Lytechinus pictus: one gene and its partner. The protein of the gene in region 2 purifies or fractionates together with the protein of the main gene of each other region. This does not show direct contact. Links are inferred from orthologs where the notes say so. Each region holds a gene or a part of one and is shown on either strand. Other genes may lie near its edges.

Region 1 (7,761 bases), on a different chromosome or scaffold from region 2:
GAGTCCCGCTCATGCCGAAACGCATCTAACCAAAAAAAAAATCTGATGCTATAGCGTTGTGTGTAAGCATGCCTCACCACTGTATTCAGTGCAGGTGTGAATGCAGTTGGAAAACACTCCGTCCATCGGAAAGGACGCAAATGTTGGTCCCGTGAATAGGAGAGTCACAACCTATGCACGTTAAAACCAATATACTATTCGTCAAAGAGTAGGGTGTTCACCCGGTGTATTGCACCTGCCGGTCCGCGGTACTACAATACTGCAAGAATCTTCAGGATTGAAGGAGGCAGTCAGTGTAGGATGAAGAAGATGAAGAAGAATCTTCAGGATTGAAGGAGGCAGTCAGTGTAGCTTGAAACCTTGAAACCATACTTAGGGACAGTGATTTTCCGTTTCAAAAAATTGCCTTTTCCGTTTCAGAAAATCTCAAATTCCGTTTCAGCATGTCAGAAAACGGAAATTCCGTTTCCCCATAGACTTTGTACACACGGAAAAGTGACAATTCCGTTTACACATTTACATGCACACTCGCACTGGTCAAAATTTGTATCTGCTACTGTACCAACAACACAATAAAATCCGTTCTAATCGGATCTATGCGGGTGAATAAAATATTTTAACACACCCATTTTGCATGCATACATCCTCACCTTTCATATTATTAGCATTATTTCACGGTGAAATGATATTTCATCGATAATTTTGGGGGTTTTTGGACATCGTTATCATCAGTCAACGTCTTTTCCCAATCCGCCATCTTGGATTTTAAGACCACGATATCGTGCTGTTACATCTTCAAACGTAGAGGGCAGCAACACACAACTGTGTACATGTAGTTGAACGATACATGTGTGCATGTGAAGCCCAACCCGGCCGGCCGGGTACGGGTACGGGTACGGTGCGGGGTACGGGTACAATCGAGTGTGCTGATGTCGAGTGCAGTCACGATGTGTGAATTGTCATGATAGTAGCGAAGTGAGATCGTGTTTTCTGGGTTTTTTTGGCCATTTAATATTCTCATTTTGTTGTGATTTTGGAGTAATTTCTGTTGCTATTCTGTGTATTTTGAGGGAAAATACGTTTTCCGTGATTTTCCGTTTGAAATGCCATTTTCCGTTTCAAAAGACCCTTTCCGTGAATTCCGTCCGTTTTCCGCGATCGCGGAAAATCACTGTCCCTACATACTATGTGAGGTCATCCAGATCTAGACCAAAAGTTCAGTCTCTGTATTTTGGTTGTTCCGCTAAACTACGTTGGCTCCACTCACCAATACATAGACTGAAGAGCTTGGAGGCCCGTACGTACAGCCAACGTATAAGTGAACTAACGTTTTATAGGTCGCGATTTAAAACTGTTTTTAAGCGAAATTTACAGTTTCATGGTTTCCATTATCAGGGAAATATAAATAACTTTAGTAATTGCGTACCTTGGACCGGAGTTATTGAAAAAAAAATCCTCTGGATGATTGAGAAATCTTTCATCTAAGACATTTTCACCTAAGCTGACGGTTTTTCTTGCAAGTTGCCATCTTGAATGTCGTCATTTTCCTTATTAACTTTTCGATGTCTCGATTTATCGAATGTCGTCTGCTACCTGTGATTGTAGCGGTTTAGCTCGCATATGGAGCAGATCGTATAATATCGAAAGCAATATCGATATCATATTCGTAAATTGTTGACGCCCTCTCCGTTCGTTGGTAATATTTCATATTTTGGCTGCCATTTTGGGGGTGATTCTCGAGACCACGACGGGACCAAGACAAGTAAACATCGGTAAAGTACCATTTTCATACCTTTGTTCTATTTCGTGCACATTAAGTTATTTGTTATATATTCAAGATAGTACATTGTATTTTGGTAGTTTCTAAATCCTTAGACTGTAAATTCGATGTAAAAAAGAATATTGAAGTCTGGACAGTTAATCGGCGAATTAGAGGAAGTGATAACACATGCGAGCTCACACTAAGACTAACTACCGTCGGTGAATGGGGATTATAGTGATATGTCAGAAATTGTTAAAGAAATCCCAGAAACGACGGTTATTCCTGTCTAATCCAGATCCAGCCACAATTTAGCATCACTGGCACGCATTGACTTTAAAACGCGTGATGCGCTATGTAAAAACGGAGCTCCGTGGAGGGCAGGGGCTGTGGATAGCGCGTGGCCGTGGGCACAAAACATGGTGATACATTTCCAAATTCTATGAGGCATTGAGATAGGCATGATAGGAGAAAAAAATAGGATAGGCCTAGATCTATATTCAACAAAAATTGATGCAAATTTCATTTTAGAACAAAAAAAAATATTGCAAAAAAGATGAACATGTCAAATTCTGCCTGGCACTTGTCAGTGCAAATTTCCATTTTTTGCTGACAATCGACACAGGATTTTATTTTTAGAACAAAAAATATTGCACAAAATATAGCTCTAAACTTAACCCAGAGAGCTCCAGCCCGCGTAGCGGGCTGGAGCCCAGACGCGCAGTGTACAAACGGGCATTCAGGTGAGAGTACCGTGAAGTTTGGTCAATATCATTTACATAATACATAATTTAAACAGAAATTAAGCACTTACCACGATTGTATGGATGATAGTCTAACGAGTGGCAGTTTCCTGACATCGAGGCACAGACTGGAACCTCAAAAAACGATCAGTTCTGTCGCGGTAGCTCTCCTCTTTCAGAATTCAACACAAAATGGCCGATCGAGACCGAGGCTAGTATAGCACTAGCGCATATAGACTTTGTCAAATTCGCGCATGCGCCCTACACCCTCTCGAACGGCCATTTTGCTATGAATTTTGAAAGAAGGAGAGCCACCGCGACAGAACTGATCGTTTTTTGAGGTTCCAGTCTGTGCCTCGATGTCAGGAAACTGCCACTCGTTAGACTATCATCCATACAATCGTGGTAAGTGCTTAATTTCTGTTTAAATTATGTATTATGTAAATGATATTGACCAAACTTCACGGTACTCTCACCTGAATGCCCGTTTGTACACTGCGCGTCTGGGCTCCAGCCCGCTACGCGGGCTGGAGCTCTCTGGGTTACTCTAAACTATACTGTACTCTGTAGTGCGCCTGTGACTGTGTCCAAGCTGTGTCTGTGGCTACTGGCTAGCCGGCTGTGCCCGCCTGAGCTGAGCCTGAGGCGTCCGAAAAATAACGGCCAAGACGGCGAGCTGCCGAGTGCGAGTGAGTCATTTGCAATTGCCAATAAAAATAGGCCCACACACGACACCGACACTGCACAGACGTCCACAGTCAGTTTCAAAACAACACAACACGGTCCATTTGAATACAAAAATTCTAAATCAAACATGAAATTTATCTGTTAAATTAGTAATCAACATTGTCTAGAATATTGAAATTGACAGAAATTTATCAAAAAACAGATTAAATGTGTTTAAACGACAACTAAATCTCACATTCAAATGTACGTATTCACATCTACACGGAAATACTCACCTAAACGCCATCTTGATATTAGAGAGGCAAATGGTGCATTGTGGGATATATCCTTTTTGCTGATTCTCTAGGATGGTGTTACGATAGATGATACTAATACAATGATAAAACTGTGTTTCTCAGCGAACAAGGTGGGCGGAGTTGTCTGCCGATGACGCGCAACGGGGATTTTGTCAACATTGACTGAGCTGAGCTAGCTGAGCTGAGATAGCTAGCTGAGCCTGAGCTGAGCAGCAAGCTATAGACATAGTATAGCGATGTTCTGATGATGATGATGATGAGACTGCTGGTCTGGCGAAAACAACCGACTCTCTCTCTACAGCTACAGCCAGGAATTAGGAACCGGTAGGTACGGTACGGGACCGTACCTTATCCAGCCCGATCCCGCGGCCCAAACAGGCCATGATCTCGGTGTCTAACTTAGTTCAGTCGTTGACATCGGAATTTGGGGCAGCTGCTTGGGATTGGGGCTGGGGGAGGCCGAAGCTGAGCTGAAAGTGAGATTAGCCTGGAGGCGTCTGGGGAGTGAAAGTAATATACTGTACGTATGGTCACTCCCCTAACGCCTGGCATTGTGATGTATAGTCTATAGAGTCCTACGTACCGAGGGAAAAGGCAACTATAAAAATGCGCCAAACTGCTAGTTATGTTTAGAATCTGAGGTCACGACTGCTGTACATGGGTAACAATATTGGTTGGCAACGTTTGGCAAAAAATGCGTAGTAATGGTTACAAAATGACGAATAAATTATATGAAGTAATAAAAGTAGAAGAGGGTTTACTTACACTTGTTGACGTGGCCATCTTTGATCCTTTGTAATTGCAACCTAGTTACATGACGCGTATAGAGGGCGGCAAAATCATGAGCGGTGCAAGATTAAAAAGTGCTATAATGTCCCGCTTCAACCACTGAACTAGAAATACATAGAGAAAACATATTGCATCTTGCCTTCTACGGCGCGTTCTCGAACAATTGACCTATCAAAATGGCGGCGGTCACGTGACTTATCGAGTTCGCCGGCGATGTTTTGCTTGGGTGTACACGACTTCCACGTATTTCTAGTTCAGTGGTTGAAGCGGGACATTTTAGCACTTTTTAATCTAGCACCGCTCATGATTTTGCCGCCCTCTATACGCGTCACGTAACTAGGTAACCCAGAGAGCTCCCGCCCGCACAGCGGGCGGGAGCCCAGAAGCTTACCGTGTATTTTACCATTGTCACCGGACTAGGGTGATTTATGGTCTAAATATTTCTCCAAATGAATTGTGAAAACAGAAAGTATACAATTACCACGATTATATGGATGAAGGTCTAACGAGTGGCAGATTCCTGACATCTGGGCACAGTCTGGAACCTCAAAAAAACGAAAAGTTCTCTCCTTCTACCCCGTCTCGATCGGCCATTTTTGTTAAAAATCGTAACAAAATGGCCGATCGAGACTGGGTAGAAGGAGAGAACTTTTCGTTTTTTTGAGGTTCCAGACTGTGCCCAGATGTCAGGAATCTGCCACTCGTTAGACCTTCATCCATATAATCGTGGTAATTGTATACTTTCCGTTTTCACAATTCATTTGGAGAAATATTTAGACCATAAATCACCCTAGTCCGGTGACAATGGTAAAATACACGGTAAGCTTCTGGGCTCCCGCCCGCTGTGCGGGCGGGAGCTCTCTGGGTTAGTAACTAGGTTGCAATTACAAAGGATCAAAGATGGCCATGTCAACAAGTGTAAGTAAACTCTCTTCTACTTTTATTACTTCATATAATTTATTCGTCATTTTGTAACCATTATTACGCATTTTTTGCCAAACGTTGCCAACCAATATTGTTACCCATGTACAGCAGTCGTGACCTCAGATTCTAAACATAACTAGCAGTTTGGCGCATTTTTATAGTTGCCTTTTCCCTCGGTACGTAGAACTCTATACATCACAATGCCAGGCGTTAGGGGAGTGACCATACGTACAGTATATTACTTTCACTCCCCAGACGCCTCCAGGCTAAGTGAGATCAGATCAGTTCAGCCTAGCTTAGCTAGCCCAGGCCCAGGGAGGATAGATCTACACGGGAAAGACCGGGCCTGGCCCCTAGCCCTGTTCTGGTCCGAACTTGAGTTGAGGCTCATGTCATGAGAGTGAGACTGAGTGACACAGCTCCATGAAACTTTAAGTTTGAAAGGCATGATGTGGTTACTTTTTTTGCTACACTTGCAATCAATTGCACCTGTTCTGTTGCAACAAACAAGGCCAAGGGGGGCCATGACATTAATGAACTTGACTAACAGTCAACACGTTAATGTTCCTTAGCTTAGTCATGTAGTAGGCCCCCTAATCCCTATTATTTTCTTATTTTAGAAGTGTGCCATAGTGTTGACTGTTACTAGTGTTGGGGCAAAAAGCACGAAAAGTACATCCTTTTTTTTAGTCTTTAATTTTACCCTCACAAATTTGACCCTAAACACGTAGATTTCCTAGCTAAATATTCATTATTTCAGTGTTTTGAGTTTTGACACCCTTGTTACCATGATTACGTAATGTGCCCTATCTTGAAAAAGACATCCCCGGGGGGCACTCTCCACATGGACTGCTACTCACCCGTGTTCGACAACCTCAGAAATGCACCCTAAACGGCGTAACTTCATTAAATAAATCTGCAACCCTAAATGTCGTAACCCATGAGAAAAGCCACCCTAAGTGGCGTTAACAGTGAAAAGCCCGTAATTCGATACCCTCAGTGGCGTAAACAGGGAAAAGCCCGTAATTCGATACCCTAAGTGGCGTCATAACATAGAAATCGATTAATTTGATACCATACGGATTACTGATGTAAAATTGATGTTACATACCACAGGTATAAATTCCCGGCATTTTTAAAATAATTATTGCAAGTATATAAAGTCCAGCATAATTTACTCTCAATGACAGCTCTCTTCAGTTAGCCACTTTAAATAGCCATCTTTTATCCTAAATTATTGAATGCAAGTGAAAAATGTTGCTTGCATTTACTGACTGATGCATCACTTACCATTCATTTTACCAATTTCATCACAACTTGAAAAAATGGAATCCATATTCCATACCAGTTAATGTGTTGAAAAAGACATACTTTAATTAAACCTCTATATATCTTCTTTTATTGTTTTAATTGATAATTAAAAAAAAATCATAGGAATCCCCCCATCCCTGGTATGAATCAAACAAAATGGTATAGACTAAAGGCCTAAACCCTATTGGCATGCTGCCTATAGTATAGAGCCGGGCGTAAGACTAGAGACTTTACTGTACGGGGGTATTCTCTCATTTAAGTGATGCGCTGGCCGGCGTGTGTGAGGATTATTTTGTATCCCTTAAAATCACGCCCTTCATGGTGTGGCTTAGGTCTGCTCCCTAATCTTCTCAAATTTGCAACCCTAAATGGCGTAGATCTATTCATATTTGCACCCCTCAATGGCGTCATCTTCATAACCAAATTAGCAACCCTTAATGGCATGAAGAGAGAGAGAAAAGGCTACCGTAAAAGGTGATTTACCAGCGAATGGTGCTGAAATGCAACCCTTTTTGCCAAAGACGTTGTTGACGCCTGAGTGCCTGAAACGGGACCCTTATGTGTTTTTGGGGTAGCGCATGGTATCCACTCGTCAATGTAAGTGGCCTAACCCCCCCCTGAGCAAAAATCTCCTCATAGTTTGAGAGAAATATACATCTAGATAATAAGTTAGGCCTAAACTTAAGTTAGAGTCTAACTAATACATGTAGTAACAACTGTTAGACCCTGACAAGCACACTCAATTGGTTTCAACCACATGTCCGCATTGGATGGGTCAACGAACATTCCATGATTCTTGATTTCTTGCACGTGGATAAAAAGAAGTCAAACTCAATCCCAGTGTTAAGTGTAATTGTAAATGGAGTCAGGGACAATCCTCATTTCGTTTGGATGATTTTTAAATTATGAGGATGGTCTGAGTAAACTAGGAGATCCTATAATATATCATAAACCAAGACGAATCATTTTTTATTCAGATTGTCCTTGGTTATGACTATGAGGAATGAACTTACTGAGAGCTATACATTCCTTCTTGGTAGTGTACCAAAGTGGAATTTAATGCGGCAATCGGGGTGAGGGGGGCTATTCGCCCTTCCTAAGCCCATCCCAAAATGACTAATTCTGTTTCGGACCATCAGTACCTAGGACCGCACCTTGGACTACAGAACTTCATACCTCACTCAGTCTGACTTTGTTCCTTGCACGACAACTCTTTGTGTTCTGTGAGTTAACAAGGCCTGGATCTTGTACT
Region 2 (7,915 bases):
TTTGATATGGATTCAGCTGGTTTCAAGGGTTTCATTCTCCTTGAAGTTGGTCCTTAAGTTAAAGTCAAATTGGTAAAAAATTCAATATTGTATGATTCAAACAATTAAAAAAATAGTGAATGATGGACTTCTCGACTCTCTCATTTGCATGTGATGTCACTGAGTTGTGAATAGAATTAAAACTGTTTTTTGAAAAATAAACGAAATGTCATACCTTTCTTATTTTATATCCAATTTCGATGCGAAAGATCCCATTCTATATAGTCATGAATTGAGTAGGTATGTGACAAAAAAATGAAAATCATCAAATATCAATAAATTTGGTAACATTTGAAAGCTCTTGAAAAGATCTTTCATATAATACCAAGAACTCTAATTTTCATCAAGAACTTATAAAGTTATTCCAGTTTGAGTCGCGCATATTCATCCAAATTTGTGGTCATTGTCTTAATGTAAAGTCAATGTAATACAGAACCGATTTTTGTGACCATTTTGTGAACATTTTGAACCCAAGTCTTCAACAGGCTCTAACTGCTTTGTTTTTTAGCCCTTTGAAGTAATTTAGGTATCAATGGAAAGGTGAAAGAAAGCTCAACTGATGTGTAATCATTTCACTTTGTAATTTTTCTTCTTAATATGTGTAAAATAATTTATTCTAATTAAAGGAATGAAACCCTTGAAACCAGCTGAATCCATATCAAAGAGAAAAATCAAAGAAACATATTGTTGAAAGTTTGAGGAAGATTGAATGAATAATAAGAAAGTTATGAGCATTTGAATATTGAGATCACTAATGCCATGTAGATCCTCCCATTGGCAATGCGACCAAGATCTGTGATGTCACACACGTACAACTCCCTCATTACTTTAGTACTTATTTCACTTATATTCTCACTTTTATAGAGTCTATCACAAAGTGAGGTGTTCTCTTTATGAGAGGAAAAGTACAGAGGTTTCACAACATTATATAATTGATGAATCGTTTGTCATATGATAAGAATGAGCAAAAAGAGATGTTTTGGGGTATATTTTCAGTGTCCAAAAGGGGAGAGTTGTTCATCTGTGACATCGTAGATCTTGGTCGCATTGCCAATCGGAGGATCTCCATAGCATTAGTGATCTCGACATTCAAATGCTCATAACTCTTCTATTGCTAGTCCTATTTTACTCAAGCTTTTGTTGATCTTATTCTTTGATTTTTCTGCTTTCACAAAAGCTAACTTGCTTCAAGAGTTTCATTCTCCTTTAATTCTAATTAATTATGCAAATTACGCAAAATCACAAATACTCGCCTCTTTTTTTGCCAAATGAAGGTGATCATGAATGATAGATAATTTATATAATTTAGTTGGCATCAAAACAGCATCATGTAGATAATTTCCTAAATGAATTTGTTTAAAATATTGTTTTTGTAAAGAAATTTTCTGATTTAAATTACAAGCTCTTTTTCAACTTTAGTATTGTATACATAAATGTATGTACGGAGGTCTTTTTTTACATATGAAAATTATCATTCCTTTTGTACTTTGTATGACCAAATGAAAATACAAGTGTGCTATTTTCTGATGTATTTGATTGTTTCACCGATTCCTTATGTATTCTTTTGTTTCAACAATTTGTTATACATGTATAATATGTAGCTTTTGATGTTAGAGACAATGGACATTTGATTACAATTATTTTAGGAGGGATGAGCAGCTGAGTGTATGTGTACGTAGCATTGTATGCAATTTATTACAAATATCAAGAACGATAAAAATAAAGCTTTAATATATTCTATCGGTTTTCAATGCATTTCTTAGATTTGTATACTGTACATACATTGTATTACAAAGGCCCTGTTTGAGCTATCTTTTTTTAAGAAAAATAAATAAATTCAGATTCTAGAGTGAAATCACTGCACATAAATGTACACAATTTTTTACACAACTTCCATACTATTATGAAACAAAACAAGAAAATTAGCAAGATTTTGTGGAAAAGAACTTAACAATCCAAATTTACCAATCTCCCCATGGACATGATAGATAGACTTGAAAGGCACAAAAGTATTAGTTGAAGCCAAAAGAAAAGGAAAAGAGTGGTCTATTTCTTTCAAAACAAAACAAAAAACAACCAGGAAAAAACAGATATCAAAGCTCTAAAAGATGAATAATTTTTAGATAAAAATTATTATTTCACAAATACTAAAATTTATTACGTCATACGTGATTAGGCCTATAAATAATTAGGGCCTATTAGTATTTTTATACTAATTATTTATAATTACGTGATAAATTTTAACATTTGCGAAGTAATATTTTTTTCTATAAATTATTCATCAGAACGGCATCGCTAGCCGGAAGTACGTCATACGTAAGCGGTTCAAGGGTCGACGCTATTGAAGTTTGCGTTGTTTACATGTGGATCGAGGGGTCTACTCGGTATCAGTTAGGTAAGAAACCTTAATTTTTTCACATTTTTATATTATAATTTTTAAAACCTTCCTACGCATTAGGCGTAGGAAGGTGTAAAAATCAATGAAATTCATAAAATTCAAGTTATTTTTGTTTCAAAAGATGGATTTCCGAGGGAAATCCATCTTATGATCTTTGTTTTGGCCCTTCTCTTCTCACTTCTGCGACTAAGGGAAGAGTGTCAAAACGAAAGTCAAAAAGAAGTATATTTCATTATTTTAAAAGTCATCATCATTGCGTCCTCAAGACTAGAGAGAGTATCAGAGCGAGGAGCGAGGAGCCTACGCCACGGTACACGAACGTCACGGGTAGCGAAGGTGAAGCTTCGCGGGCCCTGCATGCCGCGCCGCAGCCGACTTCCCTGACCCTGGCTCGCTCGGCCCGGCCCTGCAGTGGCATGGCCCGAGGCCGAGCGCGAGACGAGTACCAGTACGTACCGCCACAGGCACAGCTCACAGGGAGTGGCACAGGCCAGGCAAACGAAACTTACCCGAATCTTCCCAAGGACCCCATTATTCTCCAATGTTTGAGCAATGAGGTCTCTTAATTCTGTGTCTTCGTCAGCAGACATGATGGCACTTTGGTAGGGTAAATTGTTCCAAATCGAGTACAAGTCCAAATGAATGTAAGAGCCAAAAAAATAATTGAAGTTATCTTGCAGAGATAGTAGTCGGCAAGGCTAAGTATGGTGTCTACAAAGGGGATTCAGGGGGGAAAAACTATGACTCTCTATGGCGAAAATACTGTAGTCCATTTGACTGGTTGCCAAATAAAAAAAGACCCCCCCCCCCCCGCCTCATACAGTTCAATACAATACAATTCAATTCACAATAATGTGTAAAACGTTGTACGGTCAGTAATTAATTCATGTTTACAAACGGATGACCCAAAAATAAGGTTGTAATTATAGCCGCTATATAAATATACTTTTGTGATGTAATTTGCTACTGCATGTCTGTGAATCTTGAATAGACCATCAGGTTAAGAATAATTCTTAGGAATGACTATTGACTCTAACCAAAATAAGACCCTCACTTAAAGGGAAGTAGGGCCTACACCCTGACGAAAAGTTTGTTGTAAAACTACCCGGATAAAATTTGGTAAAGAAGCCTTGAGAAAAATCATATAGATTAAGAAATTTAATAAAATTTGAAATTTTTTATTTGACGTCATGTACGAGCAGCTGCCCTAAGTGTAATGCAATCTAAAATGCATTAATTCAATTTTGAATGGTTCATGATGACTATAATATATTTTTTGTCATTCAGGAGCAGATGCAAATAATAATAATAATAATATTCCGCATTTATATAGCGCTTAATACATCGGAACGACGTCTCTAAGCGCTTTACAGACATATTATTACAGGCAAATGATTTGCCTGTTGACATACAGGTTCAATAAAATCATTTAAGTGTATTGCGCTTTTGTAACCGGAATGAAAAGGCGATAACTTATACATCAAATGATTATTGCATTGGAAAATGAAATTTCATTGATTTTTTCTTTGTTTTTTTTTCATTCACGATAAGCTATATAACTCGCATTATGACGTCACATAAAAAAAATAAATTCTGATAACTTTCTAAATCTTTAATCGGTATCATCATCAACAATTAACTTTTTTTTTTTTTTATGTTATCAACAATTAACTTCATATCTACGTACAACAACATCATTTTTTATTCCCGCTTTTATTACAGCAAGGATGGGTTCCATCGTCTCGCTTTTGTTGAAAAAAAAAACCCAGTAATTATCATAAAATTATCATGTGAGGTTTTCTCCTTGAATGACAGGACCGGGACAGGACAACTTCAAATCGCGATTTGAATTCCCCATTTTTTCCGTCATTAGCAAAGTACGCTAAAATAGGACAGGCTATAATGGTCAGTGGTCACTGGGCCGATTGGGGCAGAGTGTACGCCCCGTGTACGCCCGATGATTTGTTTCCTTTCAGTTTTTGCTTTTATTTAAACCCCGGTGGGATGAGTGTTTCCGAGAATCATTTGATGATTTTTTTATATAAATAATTGTGAAAGCATTTACAGGTATAACAGTGAAAAGGGCTTCTCGAACTGATAATATCTGGGCTGTTTTTTTTTTTTTTTTGGGGGGGGGGTGTCTGATTTGCCAGTGATCTGATCCCCAGGAGTAATTAAAAAAGACGGTCTTTGACCTCAACTGTCAAAAATTCGACACTCGCCTGCCAAGAACAAAAATTGCCTTTTGTGTACTCCTCCCGGACTCCTCCCCCTTCCTTTAATGGGCTATCCCACATATTTGGAAATTTCAGGGAAAATTGTATTAATTGTCCTCTAGCTTTTTCGTTCCTATCATGAAAAGTAAAATATAATAGCCTTTTGAGACATTATTTATGGCATTGGCGTAGCCAGGAGATATCAGTAGGCGGGGCGGGAACATGGCGAGCGAACTTAAAATTTTGTGCATTTCCCTTATACTCAATTATATTTTTTTCGGTATAAAGTGATGAATACATTCGTTTTATATTTTTTTCGGTATTTTTAGTTTTTTCGGTATAAAGTTTGAATACATTCTTTTTTTACTCTCTCTCTCTTTCCTTTTCTCCTTTGCTTTTTTCTTTTCCTTTTTCTTTCTAACTTTCTCTCATTTTTCTTTCGTCCTTATTCCTTCTTCCTTCCATCTTCTTCCATTCCTCCCTTTCCCTTCATTTTTTCTTTCTTTCTTTCTGTCAGTCTGTCTGTCTGTATGTCTTTCTTTCTTTCTTTATTTATTTATTTCTTTCTTTCCCTTCCTTGCTTTTCCCTTCAGTCGGTAGAGCGGGGCGGGTTTCGGATTCCGATGACCCGGGTTCGATTCCCAATTGGTGAGCTCTTGCCAAAGTTTGGTAAGGCATTAATCCATAGACGGATCCAGGGGGCCGATCGAGGGGCACGCCCGCCACTTTTGAAATGGCTGCCAAATAAAAAATATATCACTTTTGGGGGAAAGACTCATATGGAAAGCCAATAAAGTCAACTTTCAAATGACACCAAAAGTTGGAAAACTACTCATGCTTGAGCGAGCACTGCCCACTGAAATAAAGGGTAAGAAAATTCTGTGCCGGAATTAGCCTTCCAATTTCTTTCCGTTTTTTTTTTGGGGGGGGAGGGGGGAACTTTTGAGGGTTTGAGGGTTTTATGATGAATTAATGATCAATTGTGATCAGTTTGTTATCACATTGAAATTTAATGAATGAGTGATCATGAATTGCAATTTTAGTGCAGCATTTGACTTTATCATGTGGATCTCAGCAATGTGTCCATGAGAGTCAGGAGAATAGGGGGTAAGATAGAACTTAAGTAGGTGAAGTACGTTGATGGGATAAAGGTCAACAGAACATTTAGCAACCCCTCCCTCCATCTCTAACCCCCCCCCCCCTTCTCTCCTAGCTCCTGAGAGACTATAAGCTTGGCTATATAGGCTGGGCGGGAATTGGCTGCCTTACAATTATTTTGAGAGCTTAGTCCTTCGGAACTTGCAAAGCTAGGGGTGTTATGTTAAATTGATTATGTACTCCCCTCCACCTCGATCCATTTCCCCGGTTTCTTCTCCCCCCCCCTCTCTCTCTCTTCTCTCTCTCCCTCTCCACCTCTCTATTTCTCTCTCACTTCCTGGATTGTAGCCCGATTCAGAACTTAACTGCCAAGTGACCGGTGGCTGATGGTCAGTTTTTTTTCTCTTTTTATTGAATGGTTACCAAAATTGACTGATTATGATGATTTATGAAAAAAAAATATTGAAAAAAATGAATGTTTGATTGATCACATTGAATGAGTTGATTCATGATAAATTGTTGATTAAATGATCGATTGATAGGAAAAAGTTGATGCCTCAATTCAGAATTCATCATTAACATGATTAAATCAACATTCTGCTCTGGACTTCACGCGTACATGACAATAGCAATCAGTCTCTCAACAGGAGGGGAGGGCGGGAGAGAGGGAGGGGAGGCTAAATTTTCTGTAACGTTGACCCTTATTCAATCAACCTACTTCACCCCCTATATTCCCCCGACTCCCATTAACACATTGCTGAGATCCACATGATAAAGTTGAAAGGCTGCCCCCAAAAAGTGCAATTTGTGCTCACTCATGCATTAAAGTTCAATTTAATAATTTATGAAATTTGCTTAAACAACCAAAACTGGCCACGGTTGATCATTAAGTTCCGAAGGATTTGTCTCTCAAAGAAACTGACATAAATTGGAAGGCTATAATTCCGGCCCAGCCTAATTTTGATACCGTTTGTTTCAGTGCAGGGCTACCCCCTTCAAAGAAACAAACAAATCAACTTTGAGCGTGGCCGATCGGGGAAAATATGAGTGAATATTTTTTTCCGCCCCCCCCCCCCCACTGGCGAAAGCTGGATCCGCCCCTGTTAATCTTCATTATTACCATGTCCCTCGGAGAGGACCTTAAGCAGTCGGTCCTCTGGTTCTTACTTACAAGCATTCCTGCTTTCTTAGCCGCTACAGGTAAACATTTTCTTTAAACCTTCACCATTATTTACTCTTGATGTTTTCTGCTGCTTTTGAAAAGAAAATAATCTTCTAATACCTTTTTAATATCTTTGATGGATTTTCTCAGACCTTCACCATTGCGTTTTGTTTTTATTCTGCCATTTTTAAAAGTCAGGGTGAATATTTCCCATCTAAACAAATATGGAAAATATTTATCCTCATGAAGCAGGCCGATATATGATCGAGTCGTATAAATGCAAATATTCCGGACAAAATCTATTCTCTTCAAACATTTTCCAGGATCAACTTTTAAAGCTCGATCCCCATTAAGGAATAATTCCGCTTAATTCTTGTGAAAATCAGGGGAAAATCATTTCAATCACAATTCGATATTCCAAACTTCCGATCTGTAAAAAAAAAAATTTAAGCACCAAAATCTATTTCTAACGATACGAAAAGGGAAGGCGAGGAGAATAGCAAGAAAAAAAGTAGGCGACTGAAATACTCATTAAAACAAGGGAGAGGATCGTGAAAGGAAAACTATCAGGTCACAACTAGAAAGAAAGCCTGAAGAAAGGAAGAAAGAAAGGAAGGAAGGAAGGGAGGAAGGAAGAAAGAATTCAAAGAAGAAAGAAAAAAAGATCGAGAAAGAAAACTTTCAGGTCACAACTAGAAAGAAAGTCCGAAGAAAGCCTGAAGAAATAAAGAAAGAAAGAAACTAAGGAAGGAAGGAAGGGAGGGAGGGAGGAAGGAAGGAAGGAAGGAAGGAAGGAAGGAAGGAAGGAAGGAAGGAAGGAAGGAAGGAAGGAAGGAAGGAAGGAAGGAAGGAAGGAAGGAAGGAAGGAAGGAAGGAAGGAAGGAAGGAAGGAAGGAAGGAAGGAAGGAAGGAAGGAAGGAAGGAAGGAAGGAAGGAAGGAAGGAAGGAAAGAAGGAAGGAAGGAAGAAAGAAAGAAAGAAAGAAAGAAAGGGAAGAAGGAAG

What was found. The genes of interacting proteins can lie anywhere in the genome.
Region 1: the proteins of centrosomal protein 43-like (region 2) and centrosome-associated protein 350-like purify together in Homo sapiens (affinity purification with mass spectrometry; 6 studies listed by BioGRID and IntAct, counting the BioPlex papers as one, with this or other methods). This does not show direct contact. The link is inferred for Lytechinus pictus from reciprocal best matches to the Homo sapiens genes CEP43 and CEP350.

The regions. Positions count from the first base shown.
Region 1 is NC_087259.1:22,876,267-22,884,027, forward strand, and holds the start of centrosome-associated protein 350-like, read right to left. Parts: upstream 3,568-7,761; 5' UTR 3,465-3,567; exon of another isoform or gene 3,425-3,464; intron 1-3,424. UniProt on the Homo sapiens protein: Plays an essential role in centriole growth by stabilizing a procentriolar seed composed of at least, SASS6 and CPAP. Required for anchoring microtubules to the centrosomes and for the integrity of the microtubule network.
Region 2 is NC_087254.1:18,222,461-18,230,375, reverse strand, and holds the start of centrosomal protein 43-like, read right to left. Parts: upstream 3,131-7,915; 5' UTR 3,028-3,130; coding exon 2,947-3,027; intron 1-2,946. UniProt on the Homo sapiens protein: Required for anchoring microtubules to the centrosomes. Required for ciliation.